2 linked regions of the Neurospora crassa OR74A genome follow. The protein of the gene in region 1 interacts with the protein of each later gene in a pairwise test. Links are inferred from orthologs where the notes say so. Each region holds a gene or a part of one and is shown on either strand. Other genes may lie near its edges. The genes, in order: rpt-1 and NCU03028.

Region 1 (4,544 bases):
GAACTCAACTTCGTCGCGCTCGATGTCCTTGACGGCGAGGATGCCGAGGCGCTGCAGGAAGTGCAGGGACAGGTCGTTGACGGCGTCGCGGAGGATGGATTTCTGGATGAAGAGGACGTTGCACTTGGCTTTCTTGATCTTCTTGACCATGTTGAGGAGGTAGGTGCGCTCTTCCTTGACGATCTTGTCCATCTGGCGGTAGTCGTTTACGGAGATGGTGTTTTCCATCTGTAAGAGTGAGTTGTTAGTAAAAGCACGAAAAGGGTAGTGTTTGGGCGATTTAGGGCCAGCAGGCAAGGTGGGTAGGTTATGGTCGCCAGAAAGGTATACGCACATCAGGCTTGGGAGGGCTGAGCTGGAACTGAATAAGACCGATCCTGGCCTTCTCCATCCTGACGGGACCACCAGCGCTCTTGATGACGGGCTGTGTAAGGACGAGACCATCAACCAGCTCGCTGTCCTCGATCGTACCGCCGACCTTCTTGATTATGCGGATGTTCTTGAGGTCGACATTCTCGGCGGTCTTGAGATCTATCGTCTTGGTGACTGCGTTGACGGCCATGGGGCCGAGGAGGTTGGAGTATTGTGACACGATCTTGGAGGAGAGCGAAGTGTTGGCGGCCTGGAGGAGCGAGGCGGTATCTGTGAGGGAGATGGGTTGCGACATGTCGTGGAGGACGTCTACGGCAGCGGCGGCGGCTCTTTGGAAAGCTTCGGAGATGACTGAGGGGTGGATGCCCTTGCCTAGTAGCCTGTCGGCGGCACCGAGCAAGCTACCGCAAAGGACGACGACCGAGGTTGTGCCATCACCGGCCTCGACATCTTGGGCGTGCGACAGCTGGACGAGCATCTTGGCTGTGGGGTGCATGACCGACATGCTCTTCAACATTGTGCTGCCGTCGTTGGTGATGATGGTCTCCCCCTTTCCAGTCATGATCATCTTGTCCATACCCCGCGGTCCCAGCGACGTTCTGACGGCATCGGCGACGGCTGGTGCATGTCTCTGTGTCAGCACCCCAGACAACAACGACACAAGACGGAATGACAAAATGTTGTAGGCATACCTCTGGCGGCGACAATGTTGGATGAGCGAACGGCGATGGGCTTCTCCTTGTCCTGTTTACATGGTGGGCTATCAGCAACTGGCTTGCCACAGAGCTTCACCCCTCCTCCTGGAGCTTTCGCACCGACTCCTATCGAGGGGTCAGGTTCCAAAAAGCGGGACGCACCCTGAAAGTCGCATTGCTCGCCGTCTGGGTAGCTGCCGGTGCGGTCGCCATGGTGCAAGCTTGTTTGATCTGGTATTTGGGATTATGGGAGATAGTAGACGGGAGGTCGGATGGGGGGATCAGAAACTGCCGGAAATTCGAGTTGACAGTTTTGGGGAATCGGCTTGCGCTGGGTGCAGTGCAGTTGTTGTGTTGTAAGGCAGAGCTCTCCTCTTCTCCTTCTTTGCTGGTCTGGAATCAATGGGCCAAAAACACACACACACACCGTCCCCTCCGTACCAATGTTTCCACTGCGGGACCGTAAAGTGAGTGCTGGCGCGGGCGCAAAGGTGGGCTGGCAGGTGGTAATTTTTTGTCGGCTGCTTTTTGCTGAGCGGTGGGCGGTGGAAAAGGTACCTGCGGCGCTGTAACTTTACACAGTCTAACCGGATAGGGTTAGGTAGGTGCTGTCAAGGTGGCACCCACCCGTAGCTCCCTCGCCCGCAAGGCAGCGCATGGATTACGGCAACGATTGAGCTTCGACCCTCTGTCAGTGAGTGGTGGCAGTTGGACCTTGACGAACCATCTCCATCCATCCATCCATCACATCAAGCAAGCACTGAACACCCATCAAACCAACTTGAACCCGACACACCACATCAAACCCGCGCCGAGATCTCTACAACCCCACGAACGACCCACGCCAAACAAGGAATCTCTCGCCCGGAGCCATCGCGACTTTAATTACCGACCCGATCCTTTCGATTACCCACCCTTCTTCGCCTTACCTAGTCCAAACGGGAAGCGTCATTCCCACCCGCCGTCATCATGGTATGCTTGCAGTCGCCCTACCCAAAGGTGCAACGCCACTTTGCACGACTGACACCGGGAATAGCCTTCTGCCACAGGTCAAAACTGGGAGAAGTACAGGAAAACGTTTGGCGACGATGAAGTCGAGGAGAAGAAGATCACTCCCCTCTCAGACGAGTATGTTGCCGCCCAAGAGAGCCCGCCCACCACTACCACCGCAACGGACAAGTCGTCTAACCCCCGTCAAGGGATATTCAGGTCCTCAAGACATACGGCGCCGCGCCCTACGGTGCTGCCATCAAGAAGCTAGAACAGCAAATAAAGGAGAAGCAGCAGAGCGTGGATGAGAAGATTGGCGTCAAGGTATGCTAGTCTTGCGGTGGCTACCCTACAAACCGCGAAGCGCATCTAGCTGACCAGTGATACTTTTTGGTCTACAGGAATCAGATACCGGCCTTGCGCCCCCTCACCTTTGGGATGTGGCAGCCGACCGTCAGCGTATGTCAGAAGAGCAACCGCTTCAGGTAGCGCGGTGCACCAAGATCATCCCTGACGAGAAGGACGAATCGAAGAGCAAGTACGTCATCAACGTCAAGCAGATCGCCAAGTTTGTTGTCCAGCTGGGCGAGCGAGTCAGCCCGACAGATATCGAGGAAGGAATGCGCGTCGGCGTCGACAGAAACAAGTATCAGATTCTCCTTCCGCTACCTCCCAAGATCGATGCGAGCGTTACCATGATGACGGTCGAGGAAAAGCCTGACGTCACATACGGCGATGTCGGTGGTTGCAAGGAACAGGTCGAGAAGCTACGCGAGGTCGTGGAGATGCCCCTCTTGTCGCCAGAGCGGTTCGTCAACCTCGGTATCGATCCCCCCAAGGGCGCCCTGCTATACGGACCTCCCGGCACCGGTAAGACGCTTTGCGCCCGTGCCGTTGCCAACAGGACAGACGCCACCTTTATCCGTGTCATTGGTTCCGAGCTGGTTCAAAAGTACGTCGGTGAGGGTGCCCGCATGGTCCGCGAGCTTTTCGAGATGGCCCGTACTAAGAAGGCTTGCATCATCTTCTTTGACGAAATTGATGCTATTGGTGGAGCCCGGTTCGATGACGGCGCGGGTGGTGATAATGAAGTTCAGCGTACTATGTTGGAGCTCATTACGCAGCTGGATGGTTTCGATGCCCGTGGCAACATTAAGGTTATGTTCGCTACTAACCGTCCTTCCACGCTGGATCCCGCCCTGATGCGTCCCGGACGTATCGACCGCAAAATTGAGTTCTCTCTCCCCGATCTCGAGGGTCGTGCCAACATTCTGCGCATTCATGCCAAGAGCATGTCAGTCGAGCGCGATATCCGATGGGAGCTCATTTCTCGCCTGTGCCCGAACGCGACGGGTGCTGAGTTGCGTAGTGTTTGCACGGAGGCGGGCATGTTCGCCATCCGTGCGCGCAGGAAGGTGGCGTCGGAGAAGGACTTTTTGAGTGCGGTGGACAAGGTCATCAAGGGCAACCTCAAGTTCAACTCTACTGCGGCCTATGCCCAGTACAACTAAACGGGGAGGAAGAAGCGCATCAATAGCGGAATGGGGAGTTTGGGGTTTTTGGTTTGTGTTGAAACCGGAAGTCTAGATGTGTAATAGATGATGAATCAAGAGCGGCTCGAGATGGCACTCATAGCTGGGACTTGGGAGAGTTTGGACCGCCAGATCCCACACAGTAGGCACAATGCAGTAGGCTCTCCTGACAAGCGAAATGAACATACGGGCGGAATGAATAGGTATCATGCCTACTGTTGTTGATGATGAACATGGATTTGAAGCGATTGCATACCTATGTGACAAAATGTGACAGCAAAACTCCATGGCAGACATGGTGAGAATTGTGACGATGAGGTGTTACGACTCCGCCGCCGTGGATATCCAGACTTCCAAAATGGGGAGACGGAGCTGCTCCCGGGATACCCTTGGCAGTGACACCATCCAAGCGAAGCGATAAGGCAAAAAGGCGGGTTACGTTGAACGATAAGGAAGCTGTAGCTCAATCGTGTCGGGTGCCGCCGTCGAGATACCGGAGCACGGAGAGGTCTTGGGGGCAAGTCATGGATGCAAAGGGGGGAAGGAAACAAATGGAAATCAAGCGAAGGGGGAAAAGTTGCAAAAAAATTAGAAACCGTGGTCGCGCTGGGGGTCGAACCCAGGACCTATGCATAACTTCCAATGGCTTGGAGGTATCTAATTGCGTGTGTTAGTATGGGACAAACACTTTGGAGAAGGTATCTTCGGGGTCAAGACTCACAAGAGCATCGCGGTAACCACTCCGCTACGTGACCATTTCTGGTTTGTTGGTTGCCTGCTTGTACCCCATGGTCAGCTTATAATAGCAGGTGAGGGGTTTGCAGATGGCTTGAACATCGATAACCCTAACCCCCTTGAATCTCAGAGCTTCTTAGAGCTGATCTTAGCTGACAATGCGATGACGCATCACCTGATGATTTGCCCTCCGGCGTCCGCGACCCGCGTTCATCGGCCT
Region 2 (4,439 bases), about 550 kb from region 1:
GGATCTCTTCGAGGCCCAGAACCGGAAGGTTGCATTTCACGAGATCGATTCAGGCAGCGCCTGTCCGCTGAATCCCGTATACAACAACCCACATGACCGGCGTCGCACGCGTAGCAGCTCTACCTTGACGGGCCATCTCTTGGGAAAGCGCTGATCTCCTCCTCAGTCCATGCCCTTGCCCACGCCAACTCCACTTCAGACGGACGAACGAAGAAGAATCCTCATCAACGTGAGGGCACTCGCTGCTAGTGCGTCGACATCTCGCATTGACGGACAGCCTATCATAGTGTAATAGTTCCATGATCTCAAAGGTTTGTGGAAGACAATGGTCGCTTAAGCACGTCGTATCCTTGCTTGGCCCGCAGCAAGAAGAACTGCCTAGGCGGTATGCTCTAAAGTGCGGTTAGAGATGTGTCTTGATGTACACCAAGGCTACACCAAGGCGGTGAAGGAGCAGATGCTCGATATCCTTGATACACTTACCTGGAGTATCCTGGCATGGTCCACGGACCATGCACTCTGAGCTGTACATACCTGTCTGGTATAGTCCATATGTTCTACCTCCTAGTTCGCTGAGGTTGACGCGACGGCCCATATAATGCCGCCATAACAACAAACGCTACTGATCAACCGAAAACGTGAGTAGTTTGCGAATACGATTTTGTTGTGCAGGTTTGACGGAAGACATCAACGAAAGATTATTCTCGCCAAACCGGCTATCGGCTGAGGGTCACTGAACCTTCAAGAATGCTGATTGCGCATCAAAGTAGGAGGTTTGATGCGTTGAGTTTCTTTCATCCACCAGAATAAAAGTGTAGGCAGAAGCGATGAAGTGTCTGCCATCTGAAGAAAGTTTGTTCAAAACCAGAGAAGGGAAGAGGTTTAGGTTTGTCAAGGGAAAGAGTGAGACGATTCGCCCTCGTCCATTAGTTTAGAAGGTACATGGATTTGGTTCGAAGCAGCAGCTAATCGACAGTACCCTGTCATCACACACATGCGATAACAAAAGCTACTGGACAAGCTGATAAGATGGGGGGAACCGGTCAGGTGTCAGGTCATGTGGATGCCGAGAGCCCGATAGAACCTCAAAGAAGCGGATGGGTGTGAGAGCAGGAGAGTACTATCAAGGTGTCGCAGCTGACTGGAACTAGTAGGTGACAAGATAGTGGCTCACCATCTATATGGCACGCAGAAGTTGCAATCAGGCACCGTTCGTATCATCCATCGATTCCATGTAGTATGTATACCTATGTATACGCCTAGTGACCGGCGTTCGTTACGTCGAGGCCCTGTGGGAAAGCTGAAGTAGGGTACTAAGGTACTGTAACATGCACTTGGTAGGTAGGGTTAGGGATGGAGTCGTGTTCAACGACAGAAGTGAAGCCTAAAAAGGCAAGAACCTCGGTGAACACTACACTACCTAGTATACCTTAATGACGGCTTGTAGTGGGGTCTGCTGCCTGCCGTGGAGGGGCTCTTAATGCCATGCCACCCACCTGCCACTGTTGGCGGCAGCGCTTATCGGCCTCCGCCTGTGACCTTCCAACATTACAACAACTCAATTACTTTGGTTCCCAACACAACCCTTTTCCGTAGCATCACCATTCCTCAACTTTCACCAGCACACGAAGCTATCGTAATTCCATACGAACGACTTTGCAGCAGGCTTTCACATAATCCCATCACAAAGTGCTGAACTCGAACGTGGGGCGATCGGAGCTCCCCTGAGACCAACGTCATCATCCACGACCGCCATTAACCGTTTCATTGCCGAATCGTAAAGCGATAGAAATCATGGCTGAGGCTTCAAATACTGGCGGCGATGGCCAGATTACCTTCAAAGTAAAATGCTCAGGCGACAAGAACCACACAGTCACCATTGCCGAGTCTGCGACCGTCCTTCAGCTCAAGACCCTGTTAGCGGGGGAGGAATACGAGAACATCTCGCCGGAGCAGCAACGCCTCATCTACTCCGGAAAGGTCATGAAGGACGATGAAGTTCTTAGTTTCTACAAGATCAAGCACATGAACACAGTGCACATGGTTAAGCGTCCAGCCAGCGCCGCGACAGCCAGCAGTGGCTCAACCTCGACACCCGCTCAGCCCGCGATACCTCAGAACATGGCTGCCGGCACTCCCTCGAATAACCTTTTAGCTGGCCTCACAGGCGCTCGCTTTGCCGGTCAGGTGCCGCTACCAAGCCGAGACCTGTTTGGGCCGGACGGAGGAGTACGCCACCCCTTTCTCGGCCCCCTGGACCCTTAACATAGCTGTTTACTAATGATGTTTTATAGATGGGCGCGCCTCCTAGCGAGGATGAAATCGCGAACATGCTCTCGAACCCAGCGATGGCCCAGGTCATGGCCGAGGCGTTCAACAACCCCGCCGTCATCGACCAGATGATTGCCTCCAACCCGATGTTGGCCAACATGCCCGCTGATCGCGCTCGCGAGCTTCTCAACTCTCCGATGATGCGCAACATGATGACGAACCCGGAGGCACTTCGCATGGCGGCACGCATGCGTAGGATGATGGGCGGAGGCGCCAACGCCTTTCCAGCGCCCGGGGTAACGGACAACACTCCGAACGCGACGACCGGTGCCGGTAATAACAACGCCAATGCCGATGCGCAGAACCCGTTCGCCATGTTTCTTCCATTTGGTGTTCCTCCGGCGGGCGCTCCCCCAGCAGGTAATCCCTTTGCCGCGCTCTTTGGAAACCCCGCGGGGTCTTCGCCTGCGTCTACCGGAGCTTCGACCGAGAGTGCCAGGAGCGGGGATGCCGCATCTGCTCCGGCTACTGGCGCCACTTCGGGGTCTGGGCAGCAAGCAGATCCGTTGGCATCTTTGTTCGGAGCGCTTGGAGGTGCTGGTCAGCCTGGTCAGGCTGGTGCCGCGAACCCTTTTGGTTTGCCCCCTATCTCGCCTGAGGCCTTGCAGCAGATGATGCAGGCATTTGGTGGCGGTGGTTTGGGTGGTTTTGGCGGAAATCCCGTTGCTCCTCCCGACAACAGGCCGCCAGAGGAGAGGTATGCTGAGCAGCTGCGTCAACTCAACGATATGGGTTTCTTCGATTTTGATCGGAACGTTGCTGCACTACGCCGCAGCGGTGGTAGCGTACAGGGTGCTATCGAACATCTTCTGGGCGGTTCTTAACTTAAATTTCTTTACTAGACGGTGCAGAGATGTGGACCGGAGATTGACAGTTATCTGCTGTTCCTCAAGGATACGGCGGTATTCACAATGAACGACAGAATGTCGAGGGGATAGTGGATTGAAGGATGTCCAGGGAGTGCAGTGTTATCTCCTGGCGAGGTCATTGTTGGGCCGTGCTAGATATATTTTAATCAAATATCTAGCGATAATGGTTGCTCAGGAGGACGATAGACAGTCCAGCACAGAGACGATGCTCAAAACAACACCCCTTCAGCGGGTGTCCTCACGTAAGGAGGTTTACATGTTTACAGTTTAGCGATCTTTATCAAACATGTCTCCTCTTGCTTGAATCAACAAGGTTCTTTTGTCCTCTAAGAAGACGAGTTCGCATACAGTAGCCGGGCTAACTATCAACACCACTAATCAACTCTTATTTGCATGCTATCATTCCCTCTACCGATAAAGCACCGTCAAATCCCCAGCCGGCACCGGAAAGTTCCTCAATTTATCCATAATCTCCGCGTCCGTCATGTTCCTCTCCGTCATGATCTGATCAAAACAATGTCGTCCATCCATATACTTTTGCAACGGATCCCCACTAGCCTTCATCATCATCGCCATCTTCTTGCTGTTCGACCCCTTCCCCCCCGGACCCCCATGACTCCCGGGTTCACGATAGGTATCATAATGTCCGCCCGGCACCGCCACTTTATGTTCCCTCCCCATTTCCCCTTCGCCATACCCCCTCCCACTTTTCCCTTTGCCTGTGCCAGTTCCGGTGTCGGATGGCGAAACAGGTCTAGCCAACCCCGTAGCTAGCGCAGCCAGATACTGTTTCGAGATAACATACTTGTGCACCCTGTACAAACACCCCTTGATGACGCCAAATTGAACTAAGCGGCGAACGTCCACGTACCGTAGGACGTCGAAGCCGGAATCCATATGGCCCTTGAGCCATTCGGCCACGGTTTTGCCGACGCAGAAGGTAGTCATTAGGCGGATTAGCATGTAGTTGGATATGCGGTATCCGTTGGGTGGTGGGGGCTTGTTAGACGGTGGGGAGGAGGAGGAGTGGATGTTGGAGGAAGGGTTGCGGGGGGAGGTGGAGGGCTTTCGTTCGTGGACGGGGGAGAGGTGGTGTTGGGCGTAAGGGCTGGGATCGCGGTCGGAACCACCTCCTGGGCCAAGGCCAAAGGGGGAGAGGTGGCTGTGGCGTGTGCTGGCAGAGGTGGAGAGGTTGGAGGGATTGTGGTTGTGGAAAGTGGTGCTTCCTGACACAGAACG

The links.
Region 2: the proteins of rpt-1 (region 1) and NCU03028 interact in binary tests that used the Saccharomyces cerevisiae proteins (3 or more experiments, as listed by UniProt). The link is inferred for Neurospora crassa OR74A from reciprocal best matches to the Saccharomyces cerevisiae genes RPT1 and DSK2.

Annotation. Positions count from the first base shown.
Region 1 is NC_026501.1:8,944,084-8,948,627, reverse strand, and holds rpt-1 (26S protease regulatory subunit 7), read left to right. Parts: upstream 1-1,469; 5' UTR 1,470-2,036; coding exon 2,037-2,039; intron 2,040-2,103; coding exon 2,104-2,195; intron 2,196-2,266; coding exon 2,267-2,381; intron 2,382-2,458; coding exon 2,459-3,568; 3' UTR 3,569-3,826; downstream 3,827-4,544. Other genes in the region: NCU02839 (T-complex protein 1), read right to left, coding at 1-228, 335-990, 1,065-1,116, 1,230-1,280. UniProt on the Saccharomyces cerevisiae protein: The 26S proteasome is involved in the ATP-dependent degradation of ubiquitinated proteins. The regulatory (or ATPase) complex confers ATP dependency and substrate specificity to the 26S complex.
Region 2 is NC_026501.1:8,391,852-8,396,290, reverse strand, and holds NCU03028 (deubiquitination-protection protein dph1), read left to right. Parts: upstream 1-1,525; 5' UTR 1,526-1,794; coding exon 1,795-2,229; intron 2,230-2,294; coding exon 2,295-3,155; 3' UTR 3,156-3,608; downstream 3,609-4,439. Other genes in the region: NCU03029 (hypothetical protein), read right to left, coding at 3,609-4,439. UniProt on the Saccharomyces cerevisiae protein: Involved, with RAD23 in spindle pole body duplication. Involved in the ubiquitin-proteasome proteolytic pathway.